Oryctolagus cuniculus: one gene and its partner. The protein of the gene in region 1 binds, or shares a complex with, the protein of each later gene. Links are inferred from orthologs where the notes say so. Each region holds a gene or a part of one and is shown on either strand. Other genes may lie near its edges.

What was found. Proteins that work in one complex are often made in the same cells at the same time.
Region 2: the proteins of CDK4 (region 1) and CCND3 are in contact, whole or in part, in a crystal structure (PDB 7SJ3), measured with the Homo sapiens proteins. The link is inferred for Oryctolagus cuniculus from reciprocal best matches to the Homo sapiens genes CDK4 and CCND3. Residues at the interface, in NP_000066.1 of Homo sapiens: Gly46, Gly47, Gly48, Leu49, Ile51, Thr53, Val54, Arg55, Val57, Ala58, Leu59, Arg61, Arg62, Glu64, Ala65, Phe66, Val77, Ala79, Val89, Asp129, His132, Ala133, Asn134, Cys135, Arg163, Ile164, Tyr165, Ser166, Tyr167, Gln168; in NP_001751.1 of Homo sapiens: His11, Pro13, Arg14, Ala15, Gly16, Pro17, Asp18, Arg20, Leu21, Arg26, Val27, Ser30, Leu31, Arg33, Leu34, Arg37, Tyr38, Glu74, Lys112, Leu113, Arg114, Glu115, Thr116, Pro118, Ile121, Glu122, Pro134, Arg138, Glu141, Val142.

The regions. Positions count from the first base shown.
Region 1 is NC_091442.1:60,322,285-60,326,441, forward strand, and holds the start of CDK4 (cyclin-dependent kinase 4), read right to left. Parts: upstream 2,225-4,157; 5' UTR 2,220-2,224; coding exon 1,972-2,219; intron 1,518-1,971; coding exon 1,281-1,517; intron 1,128-1,280; coding exon 992-1,127; intron 875-991; coding exon 707-874; intron 550-706; coding exon 440-549; intron 201-439; coding exon 150-200; intron 13-149; coding exon 1-12.
Region 2 is NC_091436.1:127,963,332-127,967,488, forward strand, and holds the start of CCND3 (G1/S-specific cyclin-D3), read left to right. Parts: upstream 1-1,445; 5' UTR 1,446-1,607; coding exon 1,608-1,805; intron 1,806-2,604; coding exon 2,605-2,820; intron 2,821-4,157. UniProt on the Homo sapiens protein: Regulatory component of the cyclin D3-CDK4 (DC) complex that phosphorylates and inhibits members of the retinoblastoma (RB) protein family including RB1 and regulates the cell-cycle during G(1)/S transition.

The sequences.
Region 1 (4,157 bases):
AGCCCGATCAGGCTAGGGAGACACGAAAGCTCTGTCACAGGGGTCCTTCTCCAGCTCCCGTCCCCAGGCAGAGCCAGTGGGTTAACTCCGAGTTCAGCAGAGAGAGGACTCAGAATGGAAAATTCTCTGCCCCCTGGCTGGTCACTTACTCAAAGATTTTGCCCAGCTGGTCGGCTTCGGAGTTTCCACAGAAGAGAGGCCTAGAGCGAGAAGGAATACAAGGTGGCAGTCACTTTCAGAGACAGCGGTGGCATGAGTCCTGCTTAGTGGGACTTAGAGGGTGTGGGGAATAAAGGCATGTGAAGTCTCTGATTCCGTCTCAGAGCTGGTTACGGGCAAGATGGTGAACAGCACCCAAGTACAAAAATGGCCAAGGCATGCATGTGGCTCCTGCACAAGGCGGGGGACTCAGGTTGTGCAGGGAACTTGGGTCCCATACTTTCGACGAAACATTTCTGCAAAGATACAGCCAGCGCTCCACATGTCCACAGGCGTGGCATATGTAGACTGCAGAAGAACCTCAGGAGCACGGTACCAGAGCGTCACAACCTAAGGGAAACAGCGAGAGTAGGTGAGGGCCCCCAGGGCTTCCGGGAAGCACCAGTGCCTGATGGAAGGACAAAGTATGATTTCTCAGCTGCTATGGGCAATCCTTCTCCTACCCCCAACCAGAGCCCATTTTTGGCTACCACATCTTTCTACTGACCACAGGTGTAAGCGCCATCTGGTAGCTGTAGATTCTAGCCAGGCCGAAGTCAGCCAGCTTGACCGTCCCGCTGCTCGTCACCAGAATATTCTCTGGCTTCAGGTCTCGGTGGACGATGCAATTGGCATGAAGGAAATCCAGGCCTCTAAGAAACTGGCGCATCAGATCCTGATTTGCAAGGGAAAAAAAACAGACACACAAGAAACCAGGCATTAGGCCTGAAATGCCCAGGGCTTCTGCTAGAAGGTCCCAACCCACCTCCCCGTGTCCGCCCCCGCCCTTTACCTTGATGGTCTCTGCCGGCAGGCCTGGTGGGGGTGCCTTGTCCAGATACGTCCTTAGGTCTTGGTCGACGTGCTCAAACACCAGGGTCACCTTGATTTCCCGGTCGGTTCGGGAGGTGGCACAGACGTCCATCAGCCTGGCCAGAACAAATGGTCCCTCGCTAGCTAGGATCCTCTGACTCCCCTATGGCCTCCTCATCGTGTACCTCCCCAGGATCCCCACCTCTCTCCTGACCACCACAGCCCCCCTGCCTGGACTGCCCACTCCGGGCCCTGCACCTTCCTCTCACCGGACAACATTGGGGTGCTCAAAGGCCTCCAGCCGCCTGAGTAAAGCCACCTCGCGAACAGTGCTGATGGGAAGGCCCCCTCCAGCGCCTCCTCCATTGGGGACTCGCACGCTCTTGAGGGCCACAAAGTGGCCACTGTGGGGGTCCCGGGCCTTGTACACCGTCCCGTAGGCACCGACACCAATTTCAGCTACAGGCTCGTAGCGAGAGGTAGCCATTCTCAGATCAGGGTTGACCCTAGGAACACAGAGATTCCCTGCACCACATGCTCTCCCAGAGCTGGGATGGCCTGAGCTGGCAGCGGACAAAGTGATTCCGACACGGATGGCACAGACGGCCCCACCTGCACCCCGCGCCCTCCGCGACCGCCCGCCGCGCCGCGCCTCAGGTAACAATGACTCCAACAGCGACCCCTCCAGCCACGTGAGGCCGCACACTTTGTAAAAGCCCCCTTTCCTTTGGGAACATCGCATCCAGCACAAAGGAGATCACACACATACACACGCCTGGCGCCGAGGATCCCGCACCCCGGTCCCCGAAATTACACCTTCCCACGTCCACAAAAGCCCCACTTCTCGCCCGCGGGCGACCCTCCCATAAATCGCCTGCGAAGCGCACGCATGGGAAGCGGCTGTGGGGGGAGGGGGCGGCGGCGGGACTGGCCCCCAGTGGGGGCAGGGGCTGCACTTACCTCACTCCAGGCTGGGAGGTGCAGGGGCGGCCCGTTATCGGGGCCCCGGAGCTGGTTCCTCCAGCGCCATACACCCGAGCTCGGTCCTGGGCACCTGGACGCTCCGGGCCCGACCATAGACATAGGCCGCAGGCTAGAGAGGCCCCCTCACCCCCACCCTCACCATGTGACCAGCTGCCAAAGAGGCGCGCGGAAACTGGGAGGGCGGGGCGGGCGCCGGACGTTCGGGACACGTGACCGCCACCCATGCGCAGAGGGGCGGCCGAGCTGGGCTTGGACGGGGAGGGGGGCCCTGAGGGGAAAGGGGGCGGAGGGGGGATGCCAGCCACGTGACCTGTTGCTATCACACGTGACCGCTTGACATTGCTCTGAGGAGCAGAGGTGTGGTTACGCGGCGGGGCACGTGACTGGCTGCCATAACCTCAGCGCCAGGGAGGTGGGGTGGGAGAGGGGGAACGGGAGAGGGTGGAGTCCGAGGCGGTGCCATGGCAACCTGGGCCACCCGGCTCCCGACTCCACGCTGAGGGCAGAGCACCCGAGCTCCTGGCCGGCTGCTGGCCTCGCAGCCTCTCCACGCTGGCGGGAGGTGGGGGCAGGGGCGTCGGCGGTGGCAGGTGGGGCTGTCACCTTACGGCTCCGCGGCCGTGGGAAAACAATCGGATTTGTGTCTTTGTTTCACTCATTCATTCAACAAAATTGCATTGAGCGCTTGCTTGCAGTGTGTGTGTGGGGTTTTGTTTTGGTGTCTGCGTCACTGGCTCTTAGGAGTAGTGGTAAGGCTGTATATAAAATGTGGTCCTATAGGGAGTAGACAATGCCCATCTGAGGGCAGACTGGAATTAGAAGAGGGGTGGAAGGCAGGTTAATAGAGTAATCCAACAGGAATTGTGGCAAGGTAGTGCTTGCCTCTCTTCCCGGTCCGGGCTGCTTCCAGCCCTCTCTGGGAGTGTTACAATAGACTGGGTGCTGTCAGGCAGAGAAGTTATTGATGAGCAGGAGGCAGGAATATCGGCTTTGATCTTGAAGGTTCTTTTCAGCGTTGAGTTTACAAATCTGTGATATGTGGATGCGTGTGTGTGTGTGTGTGTGTGTGCTATGTGATATGTGTGTCCTTTGTCCTCAGATGAATAGGTAGAGGGATCACCATAACCATCACCAACATCCCAGGCCACTGCTATACACGAGATTGACTTCTGGCCTCCTGCCAACCTTGTAACTCACTCGGGGGCCTTGTGCTTTCTTTTCCCCAGACACCACCTTCTTAGCGCTCATCACCGCCCTGAACACAGCCTTTCCCAAATAGCCTCTGCCTACAGACACCTAGACACAGGTAGATTTCTTATCTTATTGGCTCCAACTTCTTTATCTCCCAGCTCTTTGAGGACATGGGAGTAAAGAGATTGAGCATCTTGTCTGTGAGAAATTGTCTAAAATCTGTAAGCATTTTATTACCCTATTTGCCACTCCTTGCACCCTAAGTTCTGTTCTCAACTCTGGTGGTCATGTAAGAGTTCCGACCTGAAGATGAGTTCACATGAGTCAGGGCAAGATGGAAGTATGTCAGTGCCCATTCCACTTCGGATACTTGCGACGCTTGGGCCCTGGCTACAAGGGCAGCTGGGACACCAGTAAGGAAAACTTCAAGATCCGAACGAAGAGGCTGGAGAGGTGAAGGTTTCAATGGCTACCAAGCAGGGGCTGGTTGGTCTGTGAGCCTTCCAGAGCCTGGGCTAAGTGGGAGTTTGTCGAGCTCTCTTGCCCATCAGCAGTCCTCACTTCGCCTCCATCTTCCACGGAAGCCCTCTGCGGGTCACTGGGCTGCGAACACAGCCATCTTTCCTGTATGGGCACTTGGGTCCCAGCACCTTTTCCTGGTTCATCCATTTGTCCATCCAAAACATTTGAATTCTTCCCAAGATCACGACTGTCTAGCACTTCCTATTGGGGAGTCTTAATTTGGCGGTCTGTCCCTGGCTCCATCCCCTCCCTTCTCCTGTTAATTACTCTTTGACTAATTAATCCTCTCCCAGTGTGTTTGACCCAGTGGGCTCCCCTGAAATCCCTTTTCCCTCAGCTTTGCAAAGGGGAGGAGATGGAGAAAGGACATAAGTGCAAGGCAGAAAAAACACGTGTGGATTGATTCGCAGGGCCAAGGCTCCCACAAAAACAAAGGGCTAACCGGGAGA
Region 2 (4,157 bases), on another chromosome or scaffold:
GCAAAAGAATATTTCCATGATATGAAAGCTACAAGAATTTTTTTCTAATAAAGAGACCGATTCTCAGAGAGAACATGTGACTTGTCTATACACTGTCATTTCTCTAGTTACCCACGTCCTTGGTATCTCCTAAGTTGGGAGGACCCCAAGGGAGGAAGGGATCCCCATGCGTCCTCCCGTCCGGAACATTTCTGTAAGTCTGTGGTCTGCCTCTTAGTCATATGGAATCCAGCCTCTGAGAACACTGCACAGCGACCCAGCGTCTGGGAGGTGAGAGAAGTGGCAGCGGGGAGAGCTTGCAGCCTGCGTGGTCAACTCCTTGAGGCAGGAGCCAGCCCCCACCCCCATGTTTGCTCCAAGCAGAAACTAAGGCCACACAATCAATTTAATGACAAGGTGAGGCCTTGAATCCATGGCCTTTCTGCCCTGTTGCATTTCTGTATTAAGCTGGTTAGACCGAAGCTTTTCAGACTTCCAAGTGCACAGGAATGCAGTTAAAATGCAGATTCGGACGTGGCTGGCCGGTGGTGGGCCTGAGAAACTGCGCTTCTCACCGGCCCAGCCTCCCCCCTACCCCCGGGGTGGGGGTGGGGGTGTGGAGGGGGTGCTGATGGTGCCGGCCCCGCAGTGCCGGATTCCGGAGCCGGAGGGCCTGGGACTGTCTGCCTGATGTTGCGGTTCCTGTGCCTCCTTTTCCTCAAATTTATAAAATAAGCCTAATACCTATCTGATGGTGTTTTAGCAAAGGCTTTCTAAGTTACTGGGGCCGCCGCCTGCGACCCCAGCATTCCATAGGAGGCTGCTCCACTCCCCATCCAGCTCCCTGCTAATGGCCTGGGAATGCTGCGGACTATGGCCCCTGCAACCCACGTGGGAGACCAAAAACGGAGTTACAGGCTCGTGGCTTGGCCTGGCCCAGCCTCAGCTTTTTGCGGCCATTTGGGGGAGTAAACCAGCGGGTGGAAGATCTCCCCACCCCCGGTCTCCCCCTCTTTCTGTAACTGCTTTTCAAAGAGAGTTAAAAAAAAAAAAAGATTGAATACGTTATTTCACATGAATGCTTCAAACAGCATTCATTAAAAACTATGATTACATTCCGTGGAGCAAGCGGCTGTTGAAGCTGTTTGACGAATGACTGAATGATTAACCTTTGCAAAGAAGTCGCTTCCTGGGTGACTGCAATCCGAGAAGCAAAATGGAAAGGCCCATTGACGGGGAAAGAGGCCCACCTCCCAGAAAGTTCACTCGGCCGGGCGGTCGGGAGCGCCCGGGCCCGGAAGCCGGCCGGCCTGCGCCGCGCGGGCCAATGGGGCCGCGCCGGGGGCGGGGAGAGCGCCCCGCCAGCCCTTTCCGTCTGGGGCGCCGGCGGCCCCGCCCCTTGGAACGTTGCGACGTCCGAGCATTCCACGGTTGCTACATCGTCGCGAGGGGCGGGGCGCCTGTCAGGGAAGCGGCGCGCGCGCGGGCGGCGGGCGGGCCGGGGCTGCACCGCGCAGTGCCAGCGCCAGCGCCAGCGCCAGACCCGTGCGCCACGCTCTGCGGTCCGCCGCCCGCGTCCCCGCTCGCGACTTCGCGCTCCTGCCCTTGCCCGTGCGCTGTCTTTGAGAATGGAGTTGCTGTGCTGCGAGGGCACCCGGCACGCGCCCCGGGCCGGGCCGGACCCGCGACTGCTGGGGGACCAGCGTGTCCTGCAGAGTTTGCTCCGCCTGGAGGAGCGCTACGTGCCCCGCGCCTCCTACTTCCAGTGCGTGCAGAGGGAGATCAAGCCGCACATGCGGAAGATGCTGGCGTACTGGATGCTGGAGGTACCGCCCGGACGCCCCCCACCCCACCCTCGCTGCCCCCCACCGCTGGACCTGCGGGGGCCGCCCTGTCGGAACATCTAGGGCCCCACGCCGCTCTGCAAGATGCTTCGGCGGCCGCGACCCTCGGGGCCTGGCCTTTCCGGCTGTCTCCGCTGTGTCCCCGTCCCCTCCCTGACCCTGATATGTTCCTTCCGACCGGCACGGCCGGTTATGGGCACCCTGGCCCAGCCTCTGCTCGAGCCGGCCGTCCCCTCCACGGCCCCTGCTCCCCCCAACCCCCACCCCGCCCGGTCTTCTCGGTTCCTGCGTGTGTCGCGGGGTGCTGGCTGGGGGTGGGGTGGCGCGCCCGTTCCGGCCCGACGGGGAAGGAGACTGTGGGAGACGGCGGCTGGAGCCTCCTTCCTTCCCCTTGGGTGTGTGCGGTGGGTGGTGGTCGCCGGGGGCAAGGCTCTCCTCTGGCAGCCACGGGCGACCCTTCCTGCCCCTTCGCCTCGCTGTGGGGGAGGGGAATCACTGTTTGGGATTCCTCCCAAGGAAGGGCGCCTTTGCTTTGCCACCCCCTCCAGGGCAGAGGGGAGGAGGCGACTCAGAGGAAACGGGCGGGGGGGGGGGGGCGGCGTCGCCGTGGGGAGGGTGCATCCTCTCGTTACTGGTCCTTGTCACTGTAAGCCGCTTACCCTCTCTCGTGGCCGTGCGCCCCATTCCACTTCCCTTCGGCGCCCCCACCCCACCCCACCCTCTTCCTGCCGCCTCGTTTCCCATGCTCCTGCCCCGTCCGTGACAGTTCGTGCTCCCCCAGGTGTGCGAGGAGCAGCGCTGTGAGGAGGAAGTCTTCCCCCTGGCCATGAACTACCTGGATCGCTACCTGTCCTGCGTCCCCACCCGAAAGGCGCAGCTGCAGCTCCTGGGTGCGGTCTGCATGCTGCTGGCCTCCAAGCTGCGCGAGACCACGCCCCTGACCATCGAAAAACTGTGCATCTACACCGACCACGCTGTGTCTCCCCGCCAGTTGCGGGTGCGTGTGCAGCTGCCCCTGCGCCCCCCACCCCCACCCCCGCACAGGCTGTCTCCCCACTTCCCAGGGAAAGGAAAGCCAAGACTCCAGAGGCTTTCAGCCCTGCCCTGGGGAGGGAAGGGGTTAAGGCATATGGATGCTTTTCGGGAAAGGAACCGGGGTGGAACTGCAGATGGGGCAGTGTGGTGTGGTGGTCAGGGTGGCTTCTGCCCTGGCCTCCAGGGGGTGCCACTGCTTCCTGGTCTTTCCCCCAGATAGCAACAAGTGAAGCTGCGTGTCTGCACTCACTAGTTCTTCGCCTCTGGGTTTACACAGTCACCATGAGTTATTTATTGGCAGCACAGGGCATGCCTGCACACCCCCACTGGACTGGGGGTGTGGAATGTGCTCCTGTGGGGGAGGGGGCTGCCTGCGGTGAGCTTTTTTTTTTTTTTTTTTTTTTCCTCCTCCTGTGGACTTTGTGATAGAAAAGCCTCCCGGAGCAGATTAAAGCCAGGCCCTGGCCGCTCTGAGGAGGTGTTCCTCCCACCTTCTTTCCTTCCCCTCGCGTCCCCAGGGAGACAGTGCCTGCCCTAATCCTCCCTTCCTTGTCCTCGTGCTGAGGAACTGGAGCAGCTGCTTTGGGCCTGGTGGACACATCTCTCTGCCTTTCCCCCTTAGCCAAAGGCCCTTGCCCAGGCAGGGAGCTGAGCTGCAGCTGCTTCCCATGTGATAACGATGCCCCCTCCCCCGGCCCGGCCCTCTGACCAAGGTCTTTCATAACCCAGTGGGGAGTTGCTGTCACTCCTGTGGGTTGGGAAGTGGCTCCCCGGGCCCCTCCACTGGTCATCGGTTCTGCTTGGCCTGGGGAGGAGGCGGGGGAGCTGTTTGGATCTGGAAGAGGTTATTTTAGGGCCCACGGATCATCTCCTAAGGGGCTGGGGGAGCGGGTGGGGGGAGCTGGCACCTTGCTCCGTGGCCAGCCAAGTCTTCTCCTGACCCTGAGAGGAGTCTCTGGGCCCCATCTCCCGGGGAGGAGGGCAGCCAGTAGGCTGCTGTGATTGGCTGGCGGGGCAGCAAGGGTACTGGGGCCCCCGACTGCTGCGAGTCGAGGAACTGGATTCCTCTTCCTGCCAAGTAGCTCTGAGAGATGGGAGCAGGAGGCCGGAGTTGGGAGTCCGGGAGGCCCCACAGCTCTTTGTGATGAATCTGGTAGTTTCTGGCCACTCTGAAGGTGGAGCCGGTGTCCAGGGCCAGGGAGCGAGGTCGTTTTGGAGGGCTTGGGGCTGGGAGATAGAAGGGACCCCCTTGCTAGTGTAACCACGGGGATTGTGTATGTGCCTGGGTGTGATGGGCTT